Linked DNA regions of Saccharomyces cerevisiae S288C. The gene in region 1 interacts genetically with each later gene. Each region holds a gene or a part of one and is shown in the gene's direction. Other genes may lie near its edges.

Region 1 (2,986 bases):
GACGTGCGAGCAAAAGATTACGAAAGCTCGTATAAGATCATATGTTCGGCGGATAAACCAGTATTTCAATCAAACCTACAGGCACAACAAAAGTTTATTGCAGAGTTGTCCTTGCACCACATTAAGCCACGCTATGTATGGATAGTGGATATTGTCAGTCAAATACTATTTAATAAAGAAACTAAGGTAACTTTTGAGATAGTAGTCGGCAATTCAAAGGCCTCTTTGAAAAGAAAAATACGATGTAATGATTCATTGCCTGATAAAGCCTGCAATATTTTACACACAGGATTATCGGTGCATAGACTTACCACCGCAGATATATGGAAAGTACCACGACCCATAGACATGTCGCAAAAATCCCATTTAGTCATTCTCACGCATGGTTTTCAATCAAACGTTTCGGCAGATATGGAATACTTAATGGAAGAAATATACAAGGCTCAAATGAACAATCCAAATGAGCGACTAGTTATTAAGGGATATATGAAGAATGCTTGTGAGACTGAGAAGGGTATTAAGTTTTTGGGTGTTGGATTGGCAAACTACATCATCGACGAGTTATATGATGACTCTGTTGGGAAAATTTCATTTATTGGTCATTCCCTGGGTGGATTAACACAAACTTTTGCTATTTGTTACATAAAGACCAAATATCCATATTTCTTTAAGAAAGTGGAGCCAATCAATTTTATCTCACTGGCGTCACCATTGCTAGGCATTGCTACCAGCACGCCCAATTACGTAAAAATGTCATTGTCGATGGGTATCATTGGTACTACGGGGCAAGAACTGGGTCTTAAGGATGGAAATTATGGTGATAAGCCCCTACTTTACCTGCTATCCGAGGAATCCTTAATCAGTGTGCTTGCTCGATTCAAAAGAAGAACACTTTATGCTAATGCCGTCAACGACGGAATAGTTCCCTTGTACTCCTCTTCTTTACTTTTTTTGGACTACTCTCAATTACTTCAGAAACTGGGAGGTCAAACTACGGCACCTTGTGATCCTCTCTTCCAGCCTGAAGTAAGTCCTATTGGGGAACTTCCAAATCATAGCGATGTTGCTAATGATGATGATGGAATCAATGCATCGTCATGGAACACGTTTTGGAAGAGCAAGGAAAATAACTGCGACAAGAAATCTAAACGCTTGATGAATGCTTCCGTCATCAAATCTATGAAGTCTGTGCTTCTATCACCATGCCCCGACGCAAAGTTCTTCTCAGATCCCGATGCAAGGGTCGCAACAATCATACATGATAAGATCTACACAGAAAAGAATTTACCGCCTCCATCACCAACACTTTATGAAGGAACAGCAGCCAAGGAAGGCGAAACGAGGAAGACGAGAAAAGAGATGGAGGAAATCATAGCACGCCGCTGGCACAAGGGGATGCATTGGAGGAAAGTCGTGGTATTGCTGAAACCAGATGCCCACAATAACATCATCGTAAGAAGAAGGTTTTCCAACGCTTACGGCTGGCCGGTGGTTGACCACCTTGTTACCGCCCATTTCCAAAGAGATGACCCAATCGCCTCACCAATGCAAGATAAACAGTTTGCTGAGGAAGATATAAACATGGCAACCGGAGGGGTGGAACCAAACAAGTTCTACTCATGGCTCACCAAGATCGAGGATCCTAGTGTGTACCATGGTGGAATAGTCTCCACAGCTAGCCAGCTCGCCAGCTCCTGGATTAGCAAGCATTCCTCTGTGACAGATTGACTGTCTATCTTGACGTCATCCCGGGATTGACTTGCAATTTACTATTGTCCACACCTACGAAAGTCCATTTTACTTCGTAGTTCGATAAATGCGCTTACGGGTCTTTTTCGAGCGGGACAACTCTTCAGCTCCTCCCCTAAAACCGAGGCCGAATATCCCTTCTCCATATAAATAAGACACTTTTCACCAGGAAAACAATACTTCAGAAGCTTATTTCTCTTGACAAAAAGAGGGGTAAGATCTTTATAAAACATAAAGCAAATCAAAACATAATAACTACTACAAGTAACATAATGTGCTCAGCAGGCGGTATCAGAAGACCAATCCAGATCGAAGAATTTAAGACGGCGATAAGCGGCATGTCCGACATGGAGTTGGCACAGATTAAAACAGAAATTGAGAACAGTATCAATCATTTGCAGAGGTCTAACGCCCGCTTGGGTAAATACATAGCTAAGTTGGAGGGTGCTGACGACCGTCTTGAAGCTGACGACAGCGACGACTTGGAGAACATTGATTCGGGAGACCTGGCGCTGTACAAGGACTCTGTCAGGGAGAACGAAATTGTGCTAAACAATTACAATGAGAGAGTGGACGCATTGGAGCAAGAAACGGTATATAGAAAGACGGGCCATGGCAAGAGTAAGCACGAGGTAGAGGCAAAGGACAACACCAACAAGGGCCCTGACGTTGACATGGACAATTCAAATGTGGACGTCGTGACACCAAACAGCATATTCATTTAAGAGACGGGATTTAGTTTTACTGCGCATCATTTTCACGTCATACTCTTTGTCTCTCTGTTCTATCTCTTCGTATAAATATTTCAATAACTCCATTTGTCTATTCTATCTACCCGTTCTATCCTTACTACTAGATATCTTAAAGAAATAATAAAATAAGTAAATACAAAAAAAACTCGCTATTAATAATTTATCTCCGAAAGCCCTAGGGTGTGCTTTTCTTCCGTGCCCTAGTCTATTATTTTGAACCCTAGTTGGCGAAATTTTTTTCTAATATTCAGAAAAAAGAAACGTAGAGCTTATATGGTGAAGGAGTACAATGATACTAATAGTCTGTAGACGGCAAAAGGCATTCTTTTTGACTAGCACAACGACAGTTTGAGATTCTGTTGAAATAATCATTTATGTCTCTTTCGGTCGCCGAAAAGTCGTACCTATACGATTCACTAGCAAGCACGCCTTCAATTAGGCCCGATGGAAGACTACCTCATCAATTCAGACCTATAGAAATATTT
Region 2 (2,829 bases), on another chromosome or scaffold:
CACCACGTTACCTGATTGAGGTTGGTAAAGATGAGGAAGCGAAACGTTCACTTTCGAAATCCAACAAAGTCTCAGTCGACGATCCAGCCTTGTTAGCAGAATATGACACTATAAAGGCGGGAATCGAACTTGAAAAGCTGGCAGGTAACGCATCATGGTCTGAACTACTCTCCACTAAAACAAAGGTCTTTCAGCGTGTTCTCATGGGAGTGATGATCCAATCGCTGCAGCAATTAACCGGTGATAACTACTTCTTTTACTACGGCACCACCATCTTCAAATCTGTCGGTCTAAAGGACTCCTTTCAGACTTCGATCATTATCGGTGTGGTTAATTTTTTCTCTTCATTCATAGCGGTATACACCATTGAGAGGTTTGGACGCCGTACGTGTCTATTGTGGGGTGCTGCTTCTATGCTATGCTGCTTTGCTGTGTTTGCCTCCGTCGGTGTGACAAAGTTGTGGCCTCAAGGAAGCAGTCACCAAGACATTACTTCTCAGGGCGCCGGTAACTGTATGATTGTGTTTACTATGTTCTTCATTTTTTCGTTCGCCACCACTTGGGCAGGCGGCTGTTACGTTATTGTCTCAGAGACGTTTCCTCTTAGGGTCAAATCAAGAGGAATGGCAATCGCAACAGCTGCAAACTGGATGTGGGGTTTCCTGATTAGTTTCTTTACCCCATTCATTACCGGGGCAATCAACTTTTACTACGGTTATGTATTCTTAGGCTGTCTGGTTTTTGCATACTTTTATGTCTTTTTCTTTGTCCCAGAAACAAAAGGCCTGACGCTGGAGGAGGTGAATACTATGTGGCTGGAAGGTGTGCCAGCATGGAAATCAGCCTCATGGGTGCCACCAGAAAGAAGAACCGCAGATTACGATGCTGACGCCATAGACCATGACGATAGACCAATCTACAAGAGGTTCTTTTCCAGCTAATCTTCCGGTTTTTAGTAACTGGAAAAAAATACATGAACTTAATTATTTATTATATACAATATTTACTTTTTTACGCCTTAATCCTTAACGGACTATTTGTTATGCCTTATAGAACTAGAAATTATATGATAAACATGAGCTACACGAGTTGACAGGGTGAACAGATTACTATAGCATCTTTCTCTCATGAATAATTTTTAAAATGTATAAATTTTGTAACGTTCCGAAGGGTGGAGTGAAATTCCATTCAAGAAACCAAGCATTGAGACAGAACAGTACAGAGTTCAGTTGTTGCGGACCGAGAATTGTAACAAGTAGCCCCAGAAACATTCATATGACGTCTGTTTCAAATTAAGCTTAGTAAAAGTACACATTTACCATAAAAAAATAGTACCAAGTCGGTGGCCTGATATCCTTATTTTCCTTCTGCCAATTGGGCAAGTTGGTACTAATATTTTAGGTGACACTGCCACTTTATTGTTATGGATTGAAATTTCTTAAATGTTCTCACAATCGGCCATAACGCTATTTCTCCGACGTAACCTCCTGTCATAGTGTGCCGTGCCTGAATAACTTAAAAAATTAAAGTTTTCAATGTGCCCAAAAAAATTCACAAATAGTACGCGCTCGTTAAACACCCTGTGACGCTGGGCCAGGCACTATTTAGCATTACTTCGAAAAGACGCAAGTATAAAGAGTGAGATCTCACGTACTACAACAAGAACATAGAGAAGCATTCTAATAAGCATATAAACAAGGCTTCTAGAGAAAAATGGGCGTATTAGAAAATATAGTACCTGGTGAGCTTTATGATGCGAACTATGATCCAGATCTTTTGAAAATTAGAAAAGAGACTAAAATAAAATTGCACGAATACAACACCCTTAGCCCCGCTGATGAGAATAAAAAGAGCCAGGTAATAAGAGAATTACTTGGTAGTTGCACTGATAACTTTATAATTGAACCGCCGTTTTACTGTGATTACGGAAGTAACATCTATATCGGAGACAACTTTTACGCCAATCACAATCTTGTTATATTGGATGGGGCCAAGGTAGTCATCGGTGACAACGTATTTATCGCCCCTAATGTTGGTATTTATACGGCAGGTCATCCAATTGACGTGGAAAGACGGCTTCAAGGATTAGAATATGCCATGCCTGTGACCATTGGAGACAATGTATGGATTGGAGGTGGAGTGTCAATAATTCCTGGAGTAAATATAGGTAAAAACTCCGTGATTGCCGCCGGTAGTGTTGTGATTCGTGACATACCAGAAAATGTAGTGGCAGCAGGTAATCCTTGTAAGGTGATAAGAAAGATCACTGAAAAAGATAGTACAACTACAAACTATCGAAAATGATGGATCCACTTTCTGGAGGAATTATCGAAAGCAAGTGTTGTCTTCTATGATTATGTACCGTATTTTCTTATAAGAATAAATAAAAAGCTAGTTCAGTTTTAGTCGACTAAATACGCAGAGAGATTATTAATTATTGGTATATGTTCTGGTTTAAGTTGCTCATTCTCAACTCGACTGTGTATAGTAGCTTCTTTCTGGTATAATCTATCTTCGAGGAGAAAATTATAGTTTACAACTTATGTAAAACTGCTCAAGTTCCAACCGTATAGAAAACGCGTGGCTGGTAGCTTTATGTTCGGATTTGAGAAATTTTCGGGGAAATAAGTACCGTTCTAATTTTTCAGCGCAAATTAACATGCGGAGAAACTTTAAACTGAAAATATGGCCACCTGCATGCGTCCATATGAAAGGGTCATCAAATAGCCTCGAACAAAACAAGTAACATTTTCGATGGAGTTAGAAAGGGATGATCCTATACGCACAGATTTCCTAGGTATTTAACCTGACCTAATATTAACAAAAGTC
Region 3 (2,955 bases), on another chromosome or scaffold:
GTTTTGCTGGGGAGGTAATATGTGGAAAGGTTGCATTGATGGCCCAAGATTAGGATTTATTAAATCCATCCTAACATTTGGACCCGCCTTGTCGTTATCGGTGGTGGGCTTACCACCATCATTCTTCATATCTGAAAAGGCAACAGAATTTGAACTAGGGTTTAAAACTGGTGCAAGATGAATTGGCGATTGGGTTAGAGGAATTGGAGAATTTGCATTTAGTGAATGACTCGTAGGATTTAAAATCGGAGAGAAAGGTTGAAATTGCGCGCCCATTTCATAAGAATTAGGAAAAGGTGATCTAATACCATAGATAGGGGAGGATATATTATGTGGGTGGCCTGGCATAATAGGATTTGGTTGAAGTAAAGGTCCCCCATATGGATATGCTGCACCATAAGTTGTAGGACTCTCTTTTTTAGCTGGTGCAGTTTTATTAATCAAATCCTCCTTCGAGGTTTCTATTTTGAAATCGGATAATTTCTCAGAAACACTATTGGTTGGGGGTATAAATGACGTTGAGGAGGGAGTATTATCAAAAGATATGGATTGAGTTCTGGTTTTTGCAGTATTGTTAGCTCCTACAGACGGTTTCTTAGCCTTAGAAAAATTCTGCATGTCAGATTGGAAGTCCTTTGACAAGGTTACATTGTTGGCCGCATTGATAAGGTCAGTTGGTGATAAAGCATGAAAAGTTTGTCTTCTGAACGAACTAGCCTTATTATTAGACTCCCTGCCCTTAGATGGTAGGCTTTCTTGTAGAGTAGCGGTGGTTTCTTCAATGGCTACAGATGCTGATCCTGGTACGTTTGAATGAGTCCATAACGGATCAGCCGATGCGATTGGCAATACCTTCATTGAATTGTCATTTATCAATGGGTTTAGATTTTGTCCACCTTGAGTTGCTACCGCAGCACCCGAAGACAGCATTTGAAATGGAAGTGAGTCATTCTTGAATAACATTGGTGGACCGCCTGCATTCAAGGGCGAGCTACTCAATGGTGCTGTTGGATCATTAAAATCAGGGGGCGGAAAAAATGGACAAGGATTATGAGGAACCTGCATCATTTGAGAGTAGGGCATGAAGCCCATTCCACCCATCATTTGTGGATGTGGAAACATTTGCGACGGAGGGCCATTAGCGAATTGAGAATCTTGAGAAACTTTATTCGCAAATGCATTAGAGGTGGCGTTTTCCTCTGGATCATCTAGTTGCAACTGCTCTAAAGCAGAATTGACTGTTTCTGAAACGACAGGGTCTACTGATGGTACATCATCGATTTCTTCTTTCAAACCTTTTGTAGACATAACGTAGGTCCACTTAAAAATGTTACAGCGCTTAGTTCTCTCTTTCTTAAAAGATATCGAGGACAAAGAAACAGTAAGAACGGAAAATGAACAGAGACTCTTAAAAGAACCTAAAGAATAAGCGAAAATAAAATATGAAAAGAGAACTAGTGGACAATATCAACAGGAATTTTAAGTGTACTAAAAATAAATCGTCTGGAATAGTGTACAAAAACGAATAATATTAATGACGGCTCAAATCCTAACGTTGGAAACTAAAATACAATAAAAATAATGTACAATGTAATATACGGAAGAAAGTTTTTTTTCTGTTTCAACAAAAAAAAAAACTATTCAAAAAAAAGACGTGAGGTACTGTTTGCTGTTCACCTTCGGAGAGAGATAACCAACCGATATTCTCTTTGAGTCTGAGTGATTTGTTAAACAAGGTGCAACGAATAAGAATATAACTATACTATCTACTATATTGATCATTATTTTTTATTCTCTGGAGGACCCCAGAACAAAAAAAATATAGAAAAAAAACAATCGTCAAGAGTGACAAATACATGAGTAATAAGAAAAGGCGTCACAAATTAAAATTTGCAGTCACAAAGAGAAATAGACAGAGAATAGACTGTCTGGAATTAAGATGTCTTTTCTATCTGAGCTCCCAACAAGGCAACGGTATTGGACAGATATAATTCACAAATCACAATTCACTCCATGGAAGACACGATACGTCCATTAAATTACGCAGATATCGAGACCAGCGGGCCCATAAACCTTCTTGAGACAACTAATAACCTAAAAAGCTCGTTAAAAAAGTTTTCACAAAAGGCAAAGGGATCACACATTTCCAGAGAAAGGATTCACCATTTTAGAAAATGGAAAAATAAGACCGAATCACTTTCAGAAAACCATTTGAAGCCTCCTCCTGACGTCGACTCTCTATGTTTCAGTAACTGCTTTCAACCTGACGCCCTGTCTGGAAATGTATTTTTACCCCCCAGAAGCTCAAACATGTATTGGAATGAAAAGCAATTACAATTAGAAATGGAAATTCTAAAATTTTTATCACTAAATACTAGCAATGAATGCTGCACTTCTGATGATTAGCTTTTACACACATATATACTGCTACTATCTTTAAAGCACAAAAAAAAAATCTATCAAAAAGGATCAACGCATTACTAAATAAAATGTAACAAAGAATAGCCTTCACCCTCAGCGGAGAAATTCTTAACAAATCATCCTTGGTAATTTGGAAGTGTGGTACAATCCAACCACCACTGCAAAATAACATTTCCAGCTGCTCTGCTTCCTCTCGTAATAAGTAATTTATTAATAAATTTTTCATGACCTGCAGGATTGTTACATATTTGGGGCAAAACAGCAACGAGCCACTCTCTTGCTTCAATTGGAAACTTGGCTACCAAAGCTCTTAGCAGATCTGTGTAACTATTCAGATCGGACCTTTGTGTGTGGAATAAGCCATACATAATTTGGTACACAAGGTCTCCTCCTATAGAGGAAACTTGTTGCCTAACAGTTGTGAGTTCTTCTTGGTTGTATTTCTTATTATTGATCAACTTAGTCCAAAATTTTGCCACCGCAACAATTGTGAACTTTTCTCTTGAAGGTATTAATTTTAAAAATTGAGGTAAA
Region 4 (3,519 bases), 1.0 Mb from region 1:
CTCCTGATAAAGGCAGCACTAATAAAAATGAAATACGGACACCTAATAACGCTGTTTGGAAAGAAAATATAGAACTTCAATGGCAGCACTTGAAAAAGAAATTAAATGAATTGTATTCTAGGTTTAACTTCCACCGAGATCAATTATCCTTTCAAGTTAACAAGGCCAAAAAATCAATTCAAGAGGCAAACAGGAAGTTGTCTGAGCAAGAGAATGAAATCAACGATTCCCGTTTAAACTATAATAAAGATGAATTGACCAGTGCGAAAATTGAAGGATTGCCCTCCGAAAGGGAACAACATAGAAAAAAATGGTCTAGAAAGTTAGAGTTTTATTTTGACTCATTACAGGAGACGTTATTTACTGCCACACGTGCTTTAAATGATGTGACCGGTTATTCTGGAATTCAAAAGCTCAAATCTAGCATCAGTCTAATGGAAAAAAAATTAGAAGCTACAAAGAAAGAACACAAACTGTTTAAGGCACAGTACGCTAACGCCATTGATGAACGTGCTCAATCCCAAAGAGAAGTTAACGAATTATTGCAAAGGCAAAGCGCGTGGTCTTCGAGCGATTTAGAGAGATTTACGCAGCTATACAAAAATGACGCCTTGAATGCTAGACAGGAGCAAGAACTAAAAAACAAGGTTAAAGAAATTGAAAGCAAAGAAGAACAACTAAATGACGACTTGTATAGAGCAATTTTGACCAGGTACCATGAGGAACAAATATGGTCAGACAAAATCCGAAGAACATCCACCTGGGGTACATTCATCTTAATGGGTATGAATATATTCTTGTTTATTGTCCTACAATTACTATTAGAACCTTGGAAACGGAAAAGGTTAGTAGGATCGTTTGAAGACAAAGTCAAAAGCGCTCTCAACGAATATGCCAAGGAGCAGAATATGAAGATGGATAAATTGTTACCTGGAAAATCATCGGAAGTAACAGACCAAGGCAACACAGAAAACTCGATCGTTGAAGAGCACATAGAACAGAGAGGTGAATGTAAAATTAATACGGCGGAAATCGACAGGCCTGAAGTTGCAACGGCTGAGACCACTACAACAGAAATGAAATCCTTCAGAGATATTTGGGAACGAATAAAGGCACTTTTTGTCACACTAAAAAGCATACAATATAGGAAACTTGACGCTCCCCTAGTCTTTGACACCTTAGAGTTCTACTTATACTCAATTTCTTTAGTGAGTATGACAATCTTGGTATCCGGGCTGATATGACATGATATACTGCGCAAGAATATCGTTAAAAAAACACGCATGCATTTTTTTCATCCTTTATCCTTGTACATAATAAAATCATAAATACACAGTAAATAGCACGTTTTGGTTTCAATATCCTTAACCTTACCTAGCTAATGTTTAGCTGGTGTAATCCATTATAATCAAAATTTCTCTAATGTTTGGCTCTTCGTAGCGCGCGATGTGCCCTTTCATATTTTTCCTGAAAGTAAGGTGGCAAAATAGTAAATCTGCAGTAATTGGGTATAGCCATGAATATAGGAAGTAATAGGGCTCAGATTCTCAGTGTGTGGACAAACCAATTCTGCCTATTTCCTTTCACTCATAAGTTATACAAGAGGCAATCGGATAAAATTCAAGTATTTATAAAGTAAAAACCACAACAAGAATGGAGGAACTAGGTATTGTGACACCTGTCGAAAAGGCAGTCGAAGAAAAACCAGCCGTCAAATCATACGCATCATTGTTGGCTCAACTCAATGGTACAGTCAACAATAACAGTGCCCTGTCTAATGTGAATTCTGATATATATTTCAAATTGAAGAAATTAGAAAAAGAGTATGAACTGCTGACTTTGCAAGAAGACTATATTAAGGACGAACAACGCCATTTGAAACGTGAATTGAAGAGAGCTCAAGAAGAAGTAAAGAGAATCCAGTCGGTTCCATTAGTTATCGGGCAATTCTTAGAACCTATTGATCAGAACACAGGTATTGTTTCTAGTACCACAGGTATGAGTTATGTCGTTAGAATATTATCAACCCTAGACCGTGAACTATTAAAGCCATCTATGTCTGTAGCTTTACATCGTCATTCAAATGCTTTAGTTGACATCCTACCACCTGATTCCGACTCTAGCATATCCGTAATGGGCGAAAACGAAAAACCTGACGTCACTTATGCAGATGTTGGTGGGTTAGATATGCAAAAGCAAGAAATCAGGGAAGCCGTAGAGCTGCCATTAGTTCAGGCTGATCTATACGAGCAAATCGGTATTGACCCTCCTAGGGGTGTTCTATTATATGGTCCACCAGGTACCGGTAAGACGATGCTTGTTAAAGCCGTCGCCAATAGTACAAAAGCTGCATTCATAAGAGTTAATGGCTCCGAATTTGTTCACAAATATCTTGGTGAAGGTCCAAGAATGGTTCGTGACGTCTTTAGACTCGCCAGGGAAAATGCTCCATCCATTATATTCATAGATGAGGTAGATTCCATTGCCACAAAGCGTTTTGATGCTCAAACGGGTTCCGATCGTGAAGTACAGCGTATCCTGATTGAGTTGTTGACACAAATGGATGGTTTCGATCAATCCACCAACGTTAAAGTCATCATGGCTACAAACAGGGCAGACACATTGGACCCAGCTTTGCTGAGACCAGGCAGATTAGATAGAAAGATTGAGTTTCCCTCACTTCGTGATAGGCGTGAACGTCGTTTGATTTTCGGTACCATTGCCAGTAAGATGTCCCTTGCCCCAGAAGCGGACTTAGACTCGCTTATTATTCGTAACGACTCTCTATCAGGTGCTGTTATTGCAGCGATCATGCAGGAAGCTGGTTTAAGAGCAGTGAGGAAAAACAGATATGTCATCTTACAAAGCGATCTGGAAGAAGCTTACGCCACTCAAGTCAAGACAGATAATACCGTCGATAAATTCGACTTCTACAAATGATTACCATATATGCTTCAACGTAGGTCTACATAAAGTATTACGTACATTTCTATCTAGACAACACTAAATGAAATAAATACAGACGCCACTTTTTTATCACGTTTCTTAGCGTTATTCCGCGCGCAACCGGACGTCGCTAGCCAAGTTTTTCACTTTTTTTTTTCTGTGATATTTTTTTTTCCAAATGAGATGGTAAGATGAGTACCTATCAACAAGTATCTCAATCAATAAAGTACAACCAAAATATCAAGTACGCAGTCTCTGCTTCATCCCAGTGTAGATTTGCTATTCGATTTGTGTCATAAACATTTAACATTGCGCCCGTCTACAACAAAGGAGATAAATCAAAAAAGGAAATGGTACAAGAACAGGCAATTTTGAGCTGCATTGAGCAGACTATGGTTGCTGATGCAAAAATTATCAAAGAGGCAGAACAGCAGTTATTTGAGTTCCAGAAGCAACCTGGGTTTACTTCTTTTCTGCTTAATATAGTGTCTGATGATAATTTTGCGCTAAATGTTCGTCTTTCTTCTGCTATTTATTTGAAGAATAAGATTCACAGATCATGGGATACTAAGA

Evidence for each region.
Region 2: mutations in TMA17 (region 1) and YJL218W together harm fitness more than expected from each alone (negative genetic interaction), as found in Saccharomyces cerevisiae (2 studies listed by BioGRID).
Region 3: mutations in TMA17 (region 1) and BIL2 together harm fitness more than expected from each alone (negative genetic interaction), as found in Saccharomyces cerevisiae (2 studies listed by BioGRID).
Region 4: mutations in TMA17 (region 1) and RPT3 together harm fitness more than expected from each alone (negative genetic interaction), as found in Saccharomyces cerevisiae (2 studies listed by BioGRID).

Annotation. Positions count from the first base shown.
Region 1 is NC_001136.10:264,000-266,985, reverse strand, and holds TMA17 (Tma17p), read left to right. Parts: upstream 1-2,021; coding exon 2,022-2,474; downstream 2,475-2,986. Other genes in the region: YDL109C (putative lipase), read left to right, coding at 1-1,728; exosome non-catalytic core subunit RRP42, read left to right, coding at 2,876-2,986. UniProt on the Saccharomyces cerevisiae protein: ATPase-dedicated chaperone that assists the formation of the RPT6-RPT3 ATPase pair, an early step in proteasome assembly.
Region 2 is NC_001142.9:20,260-23,088, forward strand, and holds YJL218W (acetyltransferase), read left to right. Parts: upstream 1-1,713; coding exon 1,714-2,304; downstream 2,305-2,829. Other genes in the region: hexose transporter HXT9, read left to right, coding at 1-941.
Region 3 is NC_001139.9:464,494-467,448, reverse strand, and holds BIL2 (Bil2p), read left to right. Parts: upstream 1-2,013; coding exon 2,014-2,406; downstream 2,407-2,955. Other genes in the region: PUF4 (Puf4p), read right to left, coding at 1-1,308; KAP122 (Kap122p), read right to left, coding at 2,538-2,955.
Region 4 is NC_001136.10:1,260,028-1,263,546, forward strand, and holds RPT3 (proteasome regulatory particle base subunit RPT3), read left to right. Parts: upstream 1-1,653; coding exon 1,654-2,940; downstream 2,941-3,519. Other genes in the region: SHE9 (She9p), read left to right, coding at 1-1,244; SXM1 (Sxm1p), read left to right, coding at 3,297-3,519. UniProt on the Saccharomyces cerevisiae protein: The 26S proteasome is involved in the ATP-dependent degradation of ubiquitinated proteins. The regulatory (or ATPase) complex confers ATP dependency and substrate specificity to the 26S complex.